Linked DNA regions of Arabidopsis thaliana. The main gene of each other region encodes a partner of the protein of the gene in region 3 in a complex. Each region holds a gene or a part of one and is shown on either strand. Other genes may lie near its edges. The genes, in order: CPSRP54, ALB3 and CAO. A codon is read from its position in the direction of its gene.

The links.
Region 1: the proteins of CAO (region 3) and CPSRP54 are in contact, whole or in part, in an NMR structure (PDB 2HUG), measured with the Arabidopsis thaliana proteins. Residues at the interface, in NP_566101.1 of Arabidopsis thaliana: Glu268 (codon at 2,938), Tyr269 (codon at 2,941), Ala270 (codon at 2,944), Glu271 (codon at 2,947), Val272 (codon at 2,950), Lys283 (codon at 2,983), Val289 (codon at 3,001), Trp291 (codon at 3,007), Glu298 (codon at 3,028), Trp299 (codon at 3,031), Val300 (codon at 3,034), Lys301 (codon at 3,037), His304 (codon at 3,046), Val305 (codon at 3,049), Ala306 (codon at 3,052), Val309 (codon at 3,061); in NP_196014.1 of Arabidopsis thaliana: Pro532 (codon at 877), Gly533 (codon at 874), Thr534 (codon at 871), Ala535 (codon at 868), Arg536 (codon at 865), Arg537 (codon at 862), Arg539 (codon at 856), Lys540 (codon at 853), Ala541 (codon at 850), Asp542 (codon at 847), Ser543 (codon at 844).
Region 2: the proteins of CAO (region 3) and ALB3 are in contact, whole or in part, in a crystal structure (PDB 5E4W), measured with the Arabidopsis thaliana proteins. Residues at the interface, in NP_566101.1 of Arabidopsis thaliana: Asp273 (codon at 2,953), Glu274 (codon at 2,956), Asp312 (codon at 3,070), Tyr313 (codon at 3,073), Gly316 (codon at 3,082), Leu317 (codon at 3,085), Glu318 (codon at 3,088), Tyr319 (codon at 3,091), Ala320 (codon at 3,094), Val321 (codon at 3,097), Ala322 (codon at 3,100), Trp343 (codon at 3,163), Asp345 (codon at 3,169), Met346 (codon at 3,172), Thr350 (codon at 3,184), Glu352 (codon at 3,190), Asn356 (codon at 3,202), Asp358 (codon at 3,208); in NP_180446.1 of Arabidopsis thaliana: Lys454 (codon at 4,630), Arg455 (codon at 4,633), Ser456 (codon at 4,636), Lys457 (codon at 4,639), Arg458 (codon at 4,642), Lys459 (codon at 4,645), Arg460 (codon at 4,648), Thr461 (codon at 4,651).

Annotation. Positions count from the first base shown.
Region 1 is NC_003076.8:1,059,490-1,065,327, forward strand, and holds CPSRP54 (chloroplast signal recognition particle 54 kDa subunit), read right to left. Parts: upstream 3,937-5,838; 5' UTR 3,769-3,936; coding exon 3,619-3,768; intron 3,520-3,618; coding exon 3,384-3,519; intron 3,202-3,383; coding exon 3,134-3,201; intron 3,062-3,133; coding exon 2,960-3,061; intron 2,832-2,959; coding exon 2,679-2,831; intron 2,598-2,678; coding exon 2,520-2,597; intron 2,434-2,519; coding exon 2,308-2,433; intron 2,231-2,307; coding exon 2,128-2,230; intron 2,010-2,127; coding exon 1,909-2,009; intron 1,817-1,908; coding exon 1,679-1,816; intron 1,587-1,678; coding exon 1,367-1,586; intron 1,269-1,366; coding exon 1,183-1,268; intron 1,092-1,182; coding exon 966-1,091; intron 884-965; coding exon 776-883; 3' UTR 617-775; downstream 1-616. Other genes in the region: AT5G03930 (F-box protein), read left to right, coding at 18-554; AT5G03944 (uncharacterized protein), read right to left, coding at 5,122-5,319.
Region 2 is NC_003071.7:12,355,813-12,361,327, reverse strand, and holds ALB3 (63 kDa inner membrane family protein), read left to right. Parts: upstream 1-1,759; 5' UTR 1,760-2,169; coding exon 2,170-2,544; intron 2,545-2,632; coding exon 2,633-2,743; intron 2,744-2,853; coding exon 2,854-2,928; intron 2,929-3,005; coding exon 3,006-3,066; intron 3,067-3,150; coding exon 3,151-3,224; intron 3,225-3,325; coding exon 3,326-3,430; intron 3,431-3,571; coding exon 3,572-3,679; intron 3,680-3,771; coding exon 3,772-3,875; coding exon of another isoform or gene 3,876-3,909; exon of another isoform or gene 3,910-4,183; coding exon 4,184-4,333; intron 4,334-4,433; coding exon 4,434-4,659; 3' UTR 4,660-5,007; downstream 5,008-5,515. UniProt on the Arabidopsis thaliana protein: Required for the insertion of some light harvesting chlorophyll-binding proteins (LHCP) into the chloroplast thylakoid membrane.
Region 3 is NC_003071.7:19,470,645-19,474,980, forward strand, and holds CAO (chloroplast signal recognition particle component (CAO)), read left to right. Parts: upstream 1-1,928; 5' UTR 1,929-2,136; coding exon 2,137-3,258; 3' UTR 3,259-3,743; downstream 3,744-4,336. Other genes in the region: AT2G47440 (Tetratricopeptide repeat (TPR)-like superfamily protein), read left to right, coding at 1-1,016.

The DNA.
Region 1 (5,838 bases), on a different chromosome or scaffold from region 3:
AAGAGAAGTCACAGGTGATGATGGCCAAAGAAGGAGAACATTCCGGAGCTAAGGAAGTGAAACTTACCAAACCCAAAATTTCCTTGTCGGATCTCACCTTTGTCATTTACGTAACTACCCGAGAAAAGCTATCATCTTCTACCATAAGTTGTGAGGAGATACCACTTAAGAAATGTGGCGCGGAGCTAGAGTGTGGCTCCAATGATCGATTCCATATACAAGTCGAAAACTTGAGCCATATGGGAATCTCCAAGTCTAGAATGGCTGGTGTAAAGATCGAGTGCGAGGTCATTTATAAGGAAGACTCGGAAGACGAGGCGGTAGTTAGAATCGTTAATGCTGAAAGGCCATTAGGCACAAACTTTGGATGGCTGAACAACGATCTTCTTGCTCCACTAGCTCATCGTGGTCTAACAGCCGAAATCCAGCTGAGTTTCAACAGCGAGTTATTGGACAAGATCGACCTCCAGATATTCCACCGAGGCGAGGGGAGATATTTTTCCCAAGACGATACTCTTGGTTATCTTCAATGTTTTTTCCCATCTAAAATCTAAGTATTTTAGTTATGCAAAGCCTATGAAATATTTAAAAGTACAATTTGTATGCATTTTGTTTGGTCGATTATATGATATTTAAATAAGAATATATTTCTACCTAGATAATCATGAGTTTTGTCAACAAATTGGTAATTAACTTGTAAGGTTTCTGTCTCATTCATTAACTTATACAAAAAAATAATCCGTTTAGAAATTAACCAAATTGGGCTGAAATAGTTTTAGTTACCAGAGCCGAAGCCACGAGGACCAGGCTTGCTTGATGCTGACTCTACAAATTTCTTCCTTGAGTCTGCCTTTCTCTTCCTCCTTGCAGTTCCAGGTGGAGCCTTAAGATACATTTACAAGACCCCATTAAACTCTGGTACATGTTAAAGATGAAGAAGAAGAAGAAGAAGAAATGGAAGAAACCTTTTGTTCTGCTTTCAATGCGTCCTCGAGACCGCTTAATGCTGGAATTGATCCTCCTTCCATCACTCCCATCAAGTTCTTCATTTTCACTCTCATTTGGAAGATTTGTGCTACAAGTGCGCTCACCTGAACCAACAACAACAAAATGGTATTGAGAATCTCCTTCTTCTTGTCTGAGATCTGCACAAAACTAAGCTCACAATCTGAGCGAGAGTACCTGTTGTTCTGTCTTTCCTGAATCTTTAGCGATTCTTTTTCTTCTCTCTGGAGATTCTGCTAGTAACTCTGGTCTCTCTCTTTCCTCTGTTCCAACAGATTTAAACCAAGAATTAGACAACCAAAATCTAGTTTATGAAATGCTTGTTTATTTAATGGAATGGAAGAAAGGAACAGAGACAAACCGGGTGTCATCACTTCAATCATTGCTTCCATGACTAAAAGATTCTTTTCCGCTTCTCGGATTTGTGCTGGACTCACTTTCCCCATTCCGGGAATCATTCCAAGAACTCGTGTCATCGAACCCATTTTCGCTACAGCACGAGTCTGCTTTAGAAAATCGTTGAAGTCGAACTTTGCACTCATTATCTTCTTCTGCAGATCTTCTGCATCTTCTTGACGCATCTATAAAGACAGATGAAGAAGGCCTCAATGGATAGAGAGAGAGGGAGAGGAAAACATAGTTTTGATTGTAATTTTACTGAGAAAGAACTTACAACTTCTGTTGCCTTCTCTACAAATGAAAGCACATCTCCCATTCCTAGAATTCGTCCAGCCATTCGATCTGGATAAAAGGGTTCAAGATCCTCCATTCGCTCTCCACGTCCTACCAGTTTAATCGGTTTTCCTGATACCTAGTAACACCCATTTAAGTGTAAACTATCAATGTTGAGCAACATTAAGTAAATTTCTATAAAATAATTGATTAAAGAAGAAGAAAACAAACCTCCTTGACACTCAAAGCAGCACCACCTCTTGAATCACCATCTAGCTTTGTCAAAATGGCTCCTGTAATTCCTATCTCTACATTGAATGTCGTCACCAGTGCTGTAGGAAGTACAGAAGCTCATCTTAGTATATGACCGATACAGCTACGGTTTTGAATCTAATCCATTTTCAGGATGTCTCGAATCTTCTTGACAAAGGTAAAATAGAAACAGCGTACCTGCAGCTTCTTGTCCAGTCATGGCATCAACAACTAGTAACACTTCTGTTGGATTCAGAAATTTCTTCACGTCTTTTAATTCGTCCATCATGCCTTTATCTATCTGTCACAAAGAGGCAATTTCATGACTGAAGCTGCAATAGATTTATGATACAATGACTCTTAAAGACGAAACATTACCTGAAGCCTCCCTGCAGTATCCATAATAACTACATCAACATTGTTCTTTTTAGCTTCTTTTAGACCTTGCTTAGCTATATCTGCAGGTTTTACATCAGTCCCTGCTGTATAAACCGGCACACCAACCTGACACAAAGAGGGCATCAGGGAATATTGATTTCCGGAATCAAATATCATCACATATTCACACAGAGGTTAAGCCATTTCAATACCTGTTCACCTAAAATGACAAGTTGATCGATAGCAGCAGGTCGGTATACATCTCCAGCAATAAGCATGCAAGATTTTCCCTGTAAACATCATTATTAGTCAGTGTCATTGACAGAAAGTAGTAACAAACAATCCCATCAAAATCTCCACTGTATTCATACCTGCTTCTTTAGGTAACAAGCTAGTTTAGCACAAACCGTTGTCTTTCCAACTCCTTGGAGCCCAGCCAACAATATTACTGTAGGACCTGATTTAGCAAACTGTAACTCAGATACTTCTCCACCCATCAATTTCACTAGCTCATCATGTACAATCTGCAATAAAGCCATGATAAGCCACACTTGAGTACTATTGATACCAAAATGATCATCATAGAGTGAATCAAATATCAAACCATTATGCTAATGAAACAAAAACAAGAACCGGTTTTATTGCTAATTACCTTGACCAATTGCTGATCTGGTTTGACTCCACGAATGACACCCATTCCAACGGCTTGGTCACTAACAGACTGAACAAACCTTCTAACAACTGGGAGACTCACCTGTTAACAAAATTACTTTTATACCACATTCTTCACAAGAACCTAAATGAAACAGAATAAAACACCACTCACATCTGCTTCCAGGAGAGCTCTTCTGATATCCCGCATTGGCTCAGCAATATTGTCCTTAGTCAAGACCTCTGCAAGTTCAAATAACGTAACTAGCTTAAACCCGTGCTCATCTTTTCTGCATCTTCTAATAGCAAACACTACTCTTAACTACAAAGTTTTCTTCATTGAATACATCAATAAAACTTAGTCTCTATTCATTCCTCCTAATTTGAGCTCACGGGCAACGAAATAAGAAAGAAAAAAACCGAACCTTCGCCTTTGAGTTTGCTCCAAGCAGCCTCGAGGCCACCAGTCAACTGACCAAACATCTCGGCTCTCACTTGGCTTCTTCTGTATCTTCCATGGCCAACAACAGTCTTCGATTTCACCCAACTCCATATCTCTCGCTACTCAACACAGAACATCACAAACAAGACTAAATAACCAGAAAATCTTACAAAACCACCAAACTAAAAAACGAAAAGAAGCAAACTTTGAAGCCAAACCGTGGAGAGATTCCTAGAGGAGGACAGAGAAGCTGAATTGATGGTGCCACCGGTGAACGCAGAGCTGAAGGCAGCCTTAATTCTCCTATTTCCGGTACAGCTCAGAGTACAAGGAACTCTATTCACGCTGGAAAATTGAAGAGCCTCCATTACTAGTGAGTGAGTGATCAAAGCTCAAAACTTTTCACGACTCTCCGCAATCTTCTTGGTACTTCTATCTTCCTTTTGGATGGTTCCATTTTATCCGTTTCGATGACGTGGCCCAGTAACAGACCGTCGATGGTGAGCTTTCCACAAAACGCTGCATTTTAAAACTAGAACCATCTCTCTCTTTCTCCTTACAGGCGCGGCTCAGATCCCGACAAGTGTACGGCTAAGATCACGAATCTCTTCTTGAAAGTAATCCTCCGCGATTACCCAATCGGTTATCGGTTCGGTTCCACTCGATTTCGGTTCTTTCGATTATAAAGTTTATTTGAATATTTTAAAATTTAGTTCAGTTTGGTTCCACTTCTTTCAGTTTTAAAATTTAGTATCCATTGTTTTAGATATTTTCTGGTGTTTCGGTTATTTTTAGATATTTTTAAGTATTTTTACTATTATATATATTTTTCAAAAATTAAAAAACTTTTAATAGTGGTAAAAAATTGCAAATTTTAATTTATTTTTTTTAAAATGTAAAAAAATTATATGTATAAACATATTGAATTTAGAACACCGCTTAAGGACCTCATATTATGGACAAGATATTGTGTCCAATTAGTTTACACATAATTAAAATTTAACATTTAAAACAAAAATATTTTGTATAAAAACAAAAACAAAAACAAAAACAAAAACCTTAAATTTTAAATAGTGATATGAAAAATACAACTTAATATATTTTAAAATATAAAAAATGTTAAAATTTAAAGATGTGTATAACATATTGAACCTAGAACACCGCTTAAGGACCTTATATTATGGACGGGATGTTGTATTCATTTAGTTTACACATATTTAAAATTTAACACTTAAAAACAAAAAACATACTATGTATATATAAAAATTATTTTATCTAAAATATTAATTAGAAATAAAAAAAATATTAAAGTTTAAATAGTGGTAGAAAAAATACAAATTTAAAATTTTTTTAAAATAAAAAATTGTTAAACATTTATATATATGTAAACATATTAAACCTAGAACACCGCTTAAGGATCTCATATTATGGACGGGATGTTGTGTCCAATTAGTTTACACATACTAAAATTTAACATTTAAAACAAAAATATTATGTATATTTTAAAAATAAAACACTTGATCTAAAATATTACTTCAAAAATAAAAAAAAAACTTAAAGTTTAAACAAAAACTTGAATAAAAATTGCAAAAGATTTTTTAAAAATTAATGAGAAAAAACCCTTTTTTTCGACATCACTGAGGAAAAACCCTTTAATTAAAAATATATTAATTTCTAAATTAAACAAGAAAATGAGTTGCGAAATAACCTGACAATGGGGCTCATTGTTTGATGGGCTGAAATTGTTTGTGTTGGGCCTCCGAGAACACATCGACCATCTGAGAGCACATGCGATCATCAGTAACCGTTACCGGAAAAACGAATCCCCCAATCTCCGACGATCCCTCCACCTGCTCAATCTCCATCGCGGAGAAAACCTCCAACATCATGAATCCAAAAGCCTTAAATCCCGGCGACATGTAAGCCTTTAACTCCTTCGAATCGTCTCGCTCTCTCTTTCTACGGTGAGATGTGGTCCCAAATTGACGGCGAAGTGAATATCCTCCGTCGTTTATACGAGACGTGATGCTTGCGTGTGTGATGATCTCTCTCTCTCGTCTTCTTCGTAGCTATAACAAGTGAACAGAGATCCGTTGTATATGTATGAGTCTTTCTTGGGCTTTGACTTGTGGAATGATTCTTTCTAAACGAAGGGCGAAGAAAGAATCAGAGCATCATCATCTTGAAGCAGACAGATATCGAAGAAGAGAATTGATAATAAAGCTAATCAGAGAAATTGCATCTTTTAACTCGTGGAGATAGAAGACGCGAGACGCAGGTATTTATAAACTTATTTGTTTGAGACTCAAGTTTCCTTTTTCCTTTTCACTTAGGGTTTGTTTAAAGCCCAGAGCAAAACACCAACCTTAGGTTCGGTGATAATCTAGCCGTTATACACGGTTAGGTGATAATCTAACAGCTATACATGGTTCGGGTAA
Region 2 (5,515 bases), 7.1 Mb from region 3:
TTTTTTTTTTTTTTACTAGGGAAGCAATGAATTGCTCTTTTTTTCTCTCCTGGTGTCAATGCTTCAATTATGAACGTTAACTAATTTATTGCTTTATGAGCTTCTTTCTCGTCCAAACATTCTTAAAAACAATAGTGAAAGTCTCGATTACGAATTCAATATGACTACGTTCAATTTCATATATCGCTTTCCATTCTAATTTTTTAAGATTTGGCATAGGTGTACTAATCATTTGCTTCATCTGCCGAACAAATTTTCATAATTACTTTTTTAAAGAACGCATATGCGGTTATAATTTGTACCACTCTTAACTTTGCATATGAATTTACTTAATTACTTATGCACCCATTAATCAATGGAAGCCCGAGGTAATATGCAACCTGATTAAAAAATATTACGTTATTATTCTGATGGTCCGTACATACAAATATTACTTTTTATAATTTTCCTATGTATCCTTTGTATATGAATTGAAAAGCATTTTAGAGAAATAATTTCTATTTAGTAACAAATTAATGAGTTATTACCCATAAATTATTCTTACGTCTCCATCAAAAAGTGAGTTTAGCCTTGAAAGTTCTGTGTCGACGTCGTTATGTTATAAAACAATAAATACGAACTCTTAATCGTTCGTTGTCATATAAAATTAAGAAAAAAATACAACATCATCATTTTTTTTATTTTTTTTGTCAAACTTACAACATCATCATTTCTATCAAAAATTTATGTTAAAAAACAAATTATGAAATAAATAATTATTTCACAACGAAAAATAATAATAACAAATATAATTATTTTCAAAACAACTTTAAATTTAATTTCTATATATAGTATTTGGTATAGGTCTATATATGATCGTGACGTGTGAAATATAATTGAGGAACGGTGGATGATTCTTGAAAACAATGTGGAAGATATTTAATTCAGTATGATGCTTAAAAAAACTCATAACGTTAGCTATGTTTTGTTGAATATTACATCACATAAACGTATGGGTGTGCACTTAGAGCGAGCCGGTGATTATAGGTTTGTTTTTTTTGGTAAAAAATTATTGAGAGATTATTGATTATAGGTTTTGAAGCTATCGATCTGAGCTAGAGATTAAGGAACGAATCCCTCTATGAACATTTAAACCTTGTTCTTTTTGCTTATTAACTGAGAGATTAGGATCCTAAAATCTATACAACACTAGAGATCATTATCCAAAAGATTTTACTTAGTCCCATTTGCGGTCACATTTAATTCCCTAAAAGCATGAAAATTCTATCCCATTTGTTTTTTCCACTAGACTTGGGACTCAAAGCGTAATTTATAACTATCTTACGTTAGAGAGCATTATTTACGACCATTATTTAGGCTGAACTCATTATAGACATCGATCAAGCTCTAGTGTTAAATACATTTTCTTTGTGGGATTAATCTTTAAAGGCCTTGTAATCACTTACTATTTCGTAAGTTATGAAGATTTGGGAACCGGATTATGGCTTTGGGAAGTTAAGTCCTATGACTCAAGCTTACCTTTTTAGGGTTGTGTATAGGTTCTCGATAAATGTTTCAGATTAGTTCATTTGTTTTTTTGTTTATAAAAACTACATAATATAAAACGTGGAAAGAAAGTGATAATGACAAGAAATAAAAGTAAGAAAGGTGGTGGTGTGAGAATCAGATTCGATGTCAACTAATTGAAAGAGAGTACGCAGCTTTTTCTTCACAATTATATATATTTTGTGGAAAAGCTTACCATACATTCACAAAGCATTCGAGATTTGATTTTTATAGAAAAGTATTTACATAAAGTATTTTCTAAATCGGTTTCTATTTTGTATGCTTTCAGTTTTATTTTGTGTTGGGGAAGTGATCCATGCATTGAGCTTGGAGATTGATGGATTGGTAATTAAGCCTATTAAGTTAAGCAGGCCTGTTTCTAAAATGGGCCCTAATAAGCCCAAACTACAAAAAGCACCGATATATCCCACGTTAGATACATGTCCACGTGGACTCCTATGACTGGATGTAATCTCCACCACGCGCGATCACCAGCTTCGTCTCTCATTTTCATTTTCCAATTTATTTTCAAAAAAAGATAAATCCAGAAAAAAATTTACAAAATAAAAAAATAAAAATCTCTATCTTCTTCTTCGTCTCTTCTCATCCTCCTCTCAAGCTCCAATGGCGAGAGTTCTAGTCTCGTCTCCATCTTCATTCTTCGGTTCACCGTTGATTAAACCGTCGTCATCTCTCCGTCACAGTGGAGTAGGAGGAGGAGGAACCGCTCAATTTCTTCCATACCGGAGTAATAATAACAAACTCTTCACTACTTCAACCACCGTACGATTCAGCTTAAACGAGATTCCTCCTTTCCATGGCTTGGATTCATCTGTAGACATCGGAGCGATTTTCACCAGAGCTGAATCTCTTCTCTATACAATAGCTGACGCCGCCGTTGTTGGTGCTGATTCCGTCGTAACTACTGATTCATCCGCCGTGCAGAAGAGTGGTGGTTGGTTTGGTTTTATCTCCGATGCTATGGAATTGGTTCTTAAGGTGAGTTTTAAGCTGCTAATTTCGATCTCTGTGTGTAGAATTCTGGAAATTGTATTTGTAGCTTAAGTTTTTTGGTTTGGATTTTTAGATTTTGAAGGATGGATTATCAGCGGTTCATGTACCTTATGCTTATGGATTTGCGATTATCTTGCTTACGATTATCGTCAAAGCAGCGACGTATCCTTTGACTAAGCAACAGGTTAGTGAGTGTGATTAGTTGAATTTTGCAGCTCCTCTTGTCACTTTGATTCAATTTTGGCATGTTGGTTGAGAATTTTTGAGCATTGCTTTTGTTTTGGAATCCTTTAGGTTGAATCAACACTAGCGATGCAAAATCTTCAACCGAAAATCAAAGCGATTCAACAACGTTACGCAGGAAATCAGGTGAGTTTCTTTGGATAGAGAATGAGTTACTTGTGGATGACGAGTCTGATTTGTTTGTTCTGTTTTTGGATATATAGGAGAGGATACAACTAGAGACATCGCGATTGTATAAACAAGCTGGTGTTAATCCGTTGGCAGGTACTTTCTTTTAGAAGTTACGAGTTTTGTATTCCCTTCCTGAATTGTGGTGACATATGCACATTATTGTTTTTTTTATGTTAGGTTGCTTACCAACTTTAGCAACCATACCAGTTTGGATTGGTTTATACCAAGCTCTCTCTAACGTGGCCAACGAGGTACATATACCTTATGTCTCTTTCAACTACTGATTTCGCTAGAGACCGGATAAGTTTGTCTCTTTCAACTACTAATTGTTCTAAAAACTTTTTTTTTGTAGGGATTGTTTACAGAAGGTTTCTTTTGGATTCCATCTCTGGGTGGACCAACATCTATAGCTGCTCGGCAGAGTGGATCCGGCATTTCGTGGCTTTTTCCGTTTGTGGTAATGGAAGAAAAAAACTTTATGTGAATACGTTTTCTCATTTGATACTTATCTTTATACTAAAAAATTTCATACAACTGAGTCTTTTGCTGTGCAATGAACCTTTATCAAATTGGTGTCTAATATCGTTCGGTGGTGCAGGACGGGCATCCACCATTGGGATGGTATGACACTGTAGCTTATCTTGTTCTACCTGTTCTACTTATTGCCTCCCAGTATGTGTCAATGGAAATTATGAAGCCTCCTCAAGTGAGAAATAAACACAAGTTTCTTTTATTTTTCCTGTTACTTAAACAATTTGATATGATTGTTCTGAAACCGAATTTAATTTCTTTTGTCAGACTGATGATCCTGCACAGAAGAATACGCTTCTTGTTTTCAAGTTTCTTCCACTCATGATCGGTTACTTTGCATTGTCTGTCCCATCAGGACTATCTATTTACTGGTTGGTTTCCCTCTCCTTGAAACTTCTCATCTAACTGTTTTATCCATGCCCTTGATCTACTCATTAAATGGAGTATAAGAAAGATTTTCTCTAGTAATTAACCTAGATGGCTTCATTCTCAAAATGTACGTAAGACGGGTTAGAATTTCGAGGAATACGAAGCTTGTTTGATAAGGAATCATCTAGTGTGACTACATTTTGTAACATCAATATTATTGTATATGACTGTGTTTATTGGTAGGATCTGAGTTTTATTTTTTCCCTTTTTATTATGCTACTGCTTATGTTAAACCATCCTATGGTTTTAGGCTCACAAATAATGTACTTAGTACCGCCCAACAAGTATATCTGCGTAAACTAGGTGGTGCAAAGCCAAATATGGATGAAAACGCAAGCAAAATAATAAGTGCGGGACGAGCAAAGAGATCTATTGCTCAGCCTGACGATGCTGGCGAAAGGTAAGTGAATCCCGAGTCTAGTGGAGATTATATCTCTCAATACGAAGCGTTTTTCTTACAAGTTTGTTATTTCTGATAAATGTATATTGGATCACAACAGATTTAGACAATTAAAAGAGCAAGAGAAGCGCAGCAAGAAGAACAAGGCGGTTGCGAAAGATACAGTTGAATTGGTAGAAGAATCTCAGTCTGAATCAGAAGAAGGGTCTGATGATGAGGAAGAAGAGGCTCGTGAAGGAGCGTTAGCTTCGAGCACAACAAGCAAGCCGCTTCCTGAGGTTGGCCAACGAAGAAGCAAAAGATCGAAGCGGAAACGCACTGTATAGAACCAAAGCAAACGAAATTGCAAGTAAGGAAGAGAAAAGAGAGAGATTTGAATCTTGTTCCTTAGTTTGATCTTTTGATATATATTTGCATACACCATGTCCGGTAATTATCTAATATTAGGGCACAAAAAGGTCATTCTAAAGTTAAAAGCAGTAGTTGATCAAAGTAAATTGTTTATGTGATTCATCTTATTATAAATGTATTAACGTAAATGTGTGTACTATTATGACTTTTCAACATGCCCGCTTCAGTTTTGTTAGCATTTCGTTGTTGTAAACTTGCAATCTATTTGTTTGGTGCTTTTATTAGCTTTGTCAGCTTATAAAAATGGTAAATGTGAATCAAGTAGTATAGTAATTTGTGCAATAAACGAGACAACGATTCCCCATGAATAAACAACAATTACTTCCTGACAAAGAAGCATTGTTCTTTGGATTGGCATGGATAAAATAGAGAGAGGTAAAAATATTACGATTTGGATTGGGCTGAGGCCCAAGATATGGTTACACGATTTTCAAATTCTCGAAGTTGTACAAGTAGACAAAAGACATCTTGTTTTGTCGTGTTGTCGTTTGGTGTTTGTCGTTTTGATGTGTTTGTCAAAGAACCCTGTTACTAATCTGAACGAATATAACTTGTCAGTGTAGCCACATTACACTAATATTCAGAGAAAGTTGTCATGTTGTTACAATCATGAGTCACATAGCATGTAATAGAGTGTACATTTCAATAGGTTTAGAAGTTTAGAACACATAAATCAATCGGTCCATCTAAAATGTTTGCATTATGGTTTACTCATTGTAACTTGTAAACATTACATATGTGAATGCTTACTATCCTAGAAAAGCAAAACTG
Region 3 (4,336 bases):
ATAGCTTCCTTCTCCTCTCCGAATCCTCCTCTGCTTCTTCTCCACCACCCGAGAGCGAGAACTTCACCCATCTCCTCGCTCACATCAAGCTTCTTCTCCGTCGTCGCGCCGCTGCAATCGCCGCTCTCGACGCTGGACTGTTCTCCGAGTCGATCCGTCACTTCTCCAAGATCGTCGATGGCCGTCGCCCTGCGCCTCAAGGATTCCTCGCCGAATGCTACATGCATCGAGCCGCCGCTTATAGATCCGCCGGTAGAATCGCGGAAGCGATCGCCGATTGCAATAAAACCCTAGCTCTTGAACCCTCGTGTATCCAGGCGTTAGAAACCAGAGCCGCGCTTCTAGAAACGGTCAGGTGTTTTCCAGATTCGCTTCACGATCTAGAACACTTGAAGCTTCTCTACAACACCATTTTACGCGATCGGAAGCTTCCGGGTCCGGTGTGGAAGCGGCACAACGTGAAATACAGAGAGATTCCTGGGAAATTGTGCGTTTTGACAACGAAAACGCAGAAACTTAAGCAGAAAATCGCAAACGGAGAAACTGGGAATGTCGATTATTACGGCTTGATCGGAGTCAGACGCGGATGCACCAGATCGGAGCTCGATCGAGCTCATCTATTGCTATGTCTCAGATACAAACCCGATAGAGCCTCTTCTTTCATCGAACGGTGCGAGTTCACCGATCAAAACGACGTCGATTCGGTTAGAGATCGAGCCAAAATGTCGTCTCTGTTGCTTTACCGTTTGATTCAGAAAGGATACACCGCCGTGACAGCGATCATAGCCGAGGAGCAGAGGAAGAACGCCATTGCTCACGCTCAAAAGATTGAAGAACGCAAACCGGTTGAAAAATCCGGTTCTATTAAGAGAACCGGAAACGCTGAAACGAAACCGGTAAATTCCAATGCGTACCAAGGAGTATTCTGTAGAGATCTCGCTGCGGTTGGGAATCTACTAACCAGGGCTGGTTTCAACCATCCAATCCCGGTTAAATACGAAGCGCTCACCTGCTAAAAAATATTGAACCGAATTTTTTATCCTACCATGTCAGCCACTGGAAACGTCGTCGTTTCCGTAGATTCGTCTTCGGACAGAAAAACAAATCATTCAGCCGTCAAAAAAGAAAATAAAATAAGAAAATATATATACATTTGATGTATGAATACAAATGAAACAATGTATTTAGGTTTGGAAGATTATTCCAACTACAAGAAAATTTTGTCACTTTACTTTTATCTTCAATGTTCGTCTCCTTTGTTTCTTCTTCATCTTCATGTGCATATAAAACGACAGAAGCTTGATTTGCACGTAAATTAAAATACTAGTATCAAAACTTTTTTTTTCATTTTATTATCAAAATTATCTCTTAAGCTATTGAGCACTAATTTATTTTTTATTATTGAGTTCTCGAGATTTGCCTAGAAATAGTCGATGAGTCTGGCTCACGTCAGTAATATTCGGATGAGTCCTTATCTATAAAGTTTGGCTGCCATTTGATGGTATTGGGATGATTAATTTAATTAGGCAAATAAAATATAGATGGTGAAAACTAAATAAAAACTATTCACTTGCTGTATAATAATGTTAATACTCATATCATGTAAATCACTGAAGTGCAAATTCAAAAAAAAAAAAAAAAAAAAATGGTCTGCTTGCCATTTAAAGATGTTTAAAGATGGAGTAAGTATATATACACAAGTCGTAAAATCAAACACAAATAATATATTGACAAACTCATATATCATAATGTATACATACCAATTTAAATCCACAAGAAAATATCATATGAATGAGAAAACCAACCACATTTACAATTTTACTCATATTTATTTTATTGTTTTATATTTTTCTTTTCTTTTTGATGAGAATGTCTTAACACAATTATCTAGTATATAAAGATTTTTTCCAAAAAATAGAAGAACCTGTTGATTTTCTAAAAGTAGAAGAAAATAAGTGCAGTCCATAAAATAAAATCCTATAAAAATGTTAAAACTAGATTCTTTTTTAAAAAACTAAAATTTGCTGCAGACATCTAAAATTTTCGAAAATGATTGGGTGGCTAAGATTTCTTATCCACTAGAAAATCCAGTGAGTCCCGTTAACTCTCTTCTCTTCTCTAGTCTTGTCTTCTATTATGCAAAAGGTCTTCTTGGCCATGGATACTTGTGCTCTAGTAATCCATCAGTCTCTGTCTCGCATCAAACTTTCTCCTCCCAAATCTTCTTCTTCTTCTTCTTCTGCTTTCTCCCCTGAATCCTTACCGATCAGACGGATCGAGCTGTGTTTCCGAGGAGCTATATGTGCCGCCGTACAAAGAAACTACGAAGAAACGACCTCCTCCGTGGAAGAGGCAGAGGAAGATGATGAGTCATCATCATCGTACGGAGAAGTGAACAAGATCATTGGAAGCCGAACGGCGGGGGAAGGAGCCATGGAGTACCTTATCGAGTGGAAGGACGGCCATTCTCCGTCGTGGGTTCCATCGAGCTACATCGCAGCAGACGTAGTGTCGGAGTACGAGACACCCTGGTGGACGGCAGCTAGAAAAGCCGACGAGCAGGCCCTGTCACAGCTCCTGGAGGACCGAGACGTCGATGCCGTGGACGAAAACGGCCGGACGGCTCTGCTTTTCGTGGCAGGTCTGGGGTCGGACAAGTGCGTAAGGCTTCTGGCGGAGGCTGGAGCCGATCTCGACCACCGAGACATGAGGGGAGGCTTGACGGCGCTGCACATGGCGGCTGGTTACGTGAGGCCGGAGGTGGTGGAGGCGCTGGTGGAGCTGGGAGCTGATATTGAAGTGGAAGACGAGAGAGGGTTAACGGCGTTGGAACTAGCGAGGGAGATTCTGAAGACGACGCCGAAGGGGAATCCGATGCAGTTCGGGAGGAGAATTGGGTTAGAGAAAGTGATCAATGTCCTGGAAGGACAAGTGTTCGAGTACGCCGAGGTGGATGAGATCGTAGAGAAACGAGGGAAAGGCAAAGACGTTGAATATCTGGTCAGATGGAAGGACGGTGGAGATTGCGAGTGGGTGAAAGGTGTACACGTGGCGGAAGATGTGGCTAAGGACTACGAGGATGGGCTGGAGTACGCTGTAGCGGAGAGTGTGATCGGGAAGAGGGTGGGAGACGATGGGAAGACCATCGAGTATCTTGTCAAATGGACTGATATGTCTGATGCCACTTGGGAGCCTCAGGACAATGTCGACTCTACTCTTGTTCTACTCTACCAACAACAACAACCAATGAATGAATGATTGATTTTGATGATTACATTCTTCTCAATTTGCTTCTTTCTCATATGTGTTGGTTCATCTGACCGGTTCGGTTGGTACGTACCGGTACATTTTCATTTTCTTTTAAGATGTGATCTTGATGGTTTTTGGCCTTTTGGGGACACTATTTGATTTTATATCCATGCTTTGAATTTTGCTTCCCTTTTTGGGGAGATTCATGATGCTGGCTGACTTGCTCTTTATCGTCCCAGGTTTAGAGAATACATCGTCTTAGGCTTTTCTTTATCTCAAAACCCATTTACATTTAATTGGGCCTATATATTTCATATAGGAAGAGAGTACATGTAAACCCAATACACAACTTTTATTTATGGGTCCGTTTCTTGTAACATTTGTTGGTGATAAAAACAACTTCTGAAGAGTGATAATGTACAACTGCACTTTGCGATTAAGGAAATTATAGAAAGATACAAAGTCTGAATAAATGACTAGAAAATATGAATAAGTAGTATCCATTCTTCTCTAATTCAACATCATTTTTTTTTTTTTTTTTTTTTGACGATATTCGATGCATTGTGTCTATATGAGAGAAATTTTGGTTTGTCAGTTAATGGCTAGACTTTTATTATTATGAGCATCTAGATTTTCAGTGCATGTGATGTTACGTTGATGATGGACATAAGGAGACAAAAAGGACGGAGTTGATTTAGTACACATTTTCGTTTCTTTGTGAATACAACGATCGCCTATTTTTCGTTTGTAATTTTCCTCTTAATTCGAGAGGGGCCTCTAGTCATGTGTGTTACTTCTAGTTATAGTGACATGAACGGATGAGAAAAGTTTCTTTTTGTAAACAACATGCGTACGTAAATCAACCAAATATATTTAGTATAACAACCAAATTACTGTTGGACAACCAACCAAACAACAATTATGTAGATTATAGATTAGAGAAAACAAGGAACTAGGTCGATTAACCGCGACCACATTAGCCAAGTCCTCCAGTCGATTAATATAAATTGATGCCAAATATATTAGTTTTCACTGGGTTTTATATTATACTATCAGACCACAGAAGACATCACGTCACAGTTAACAA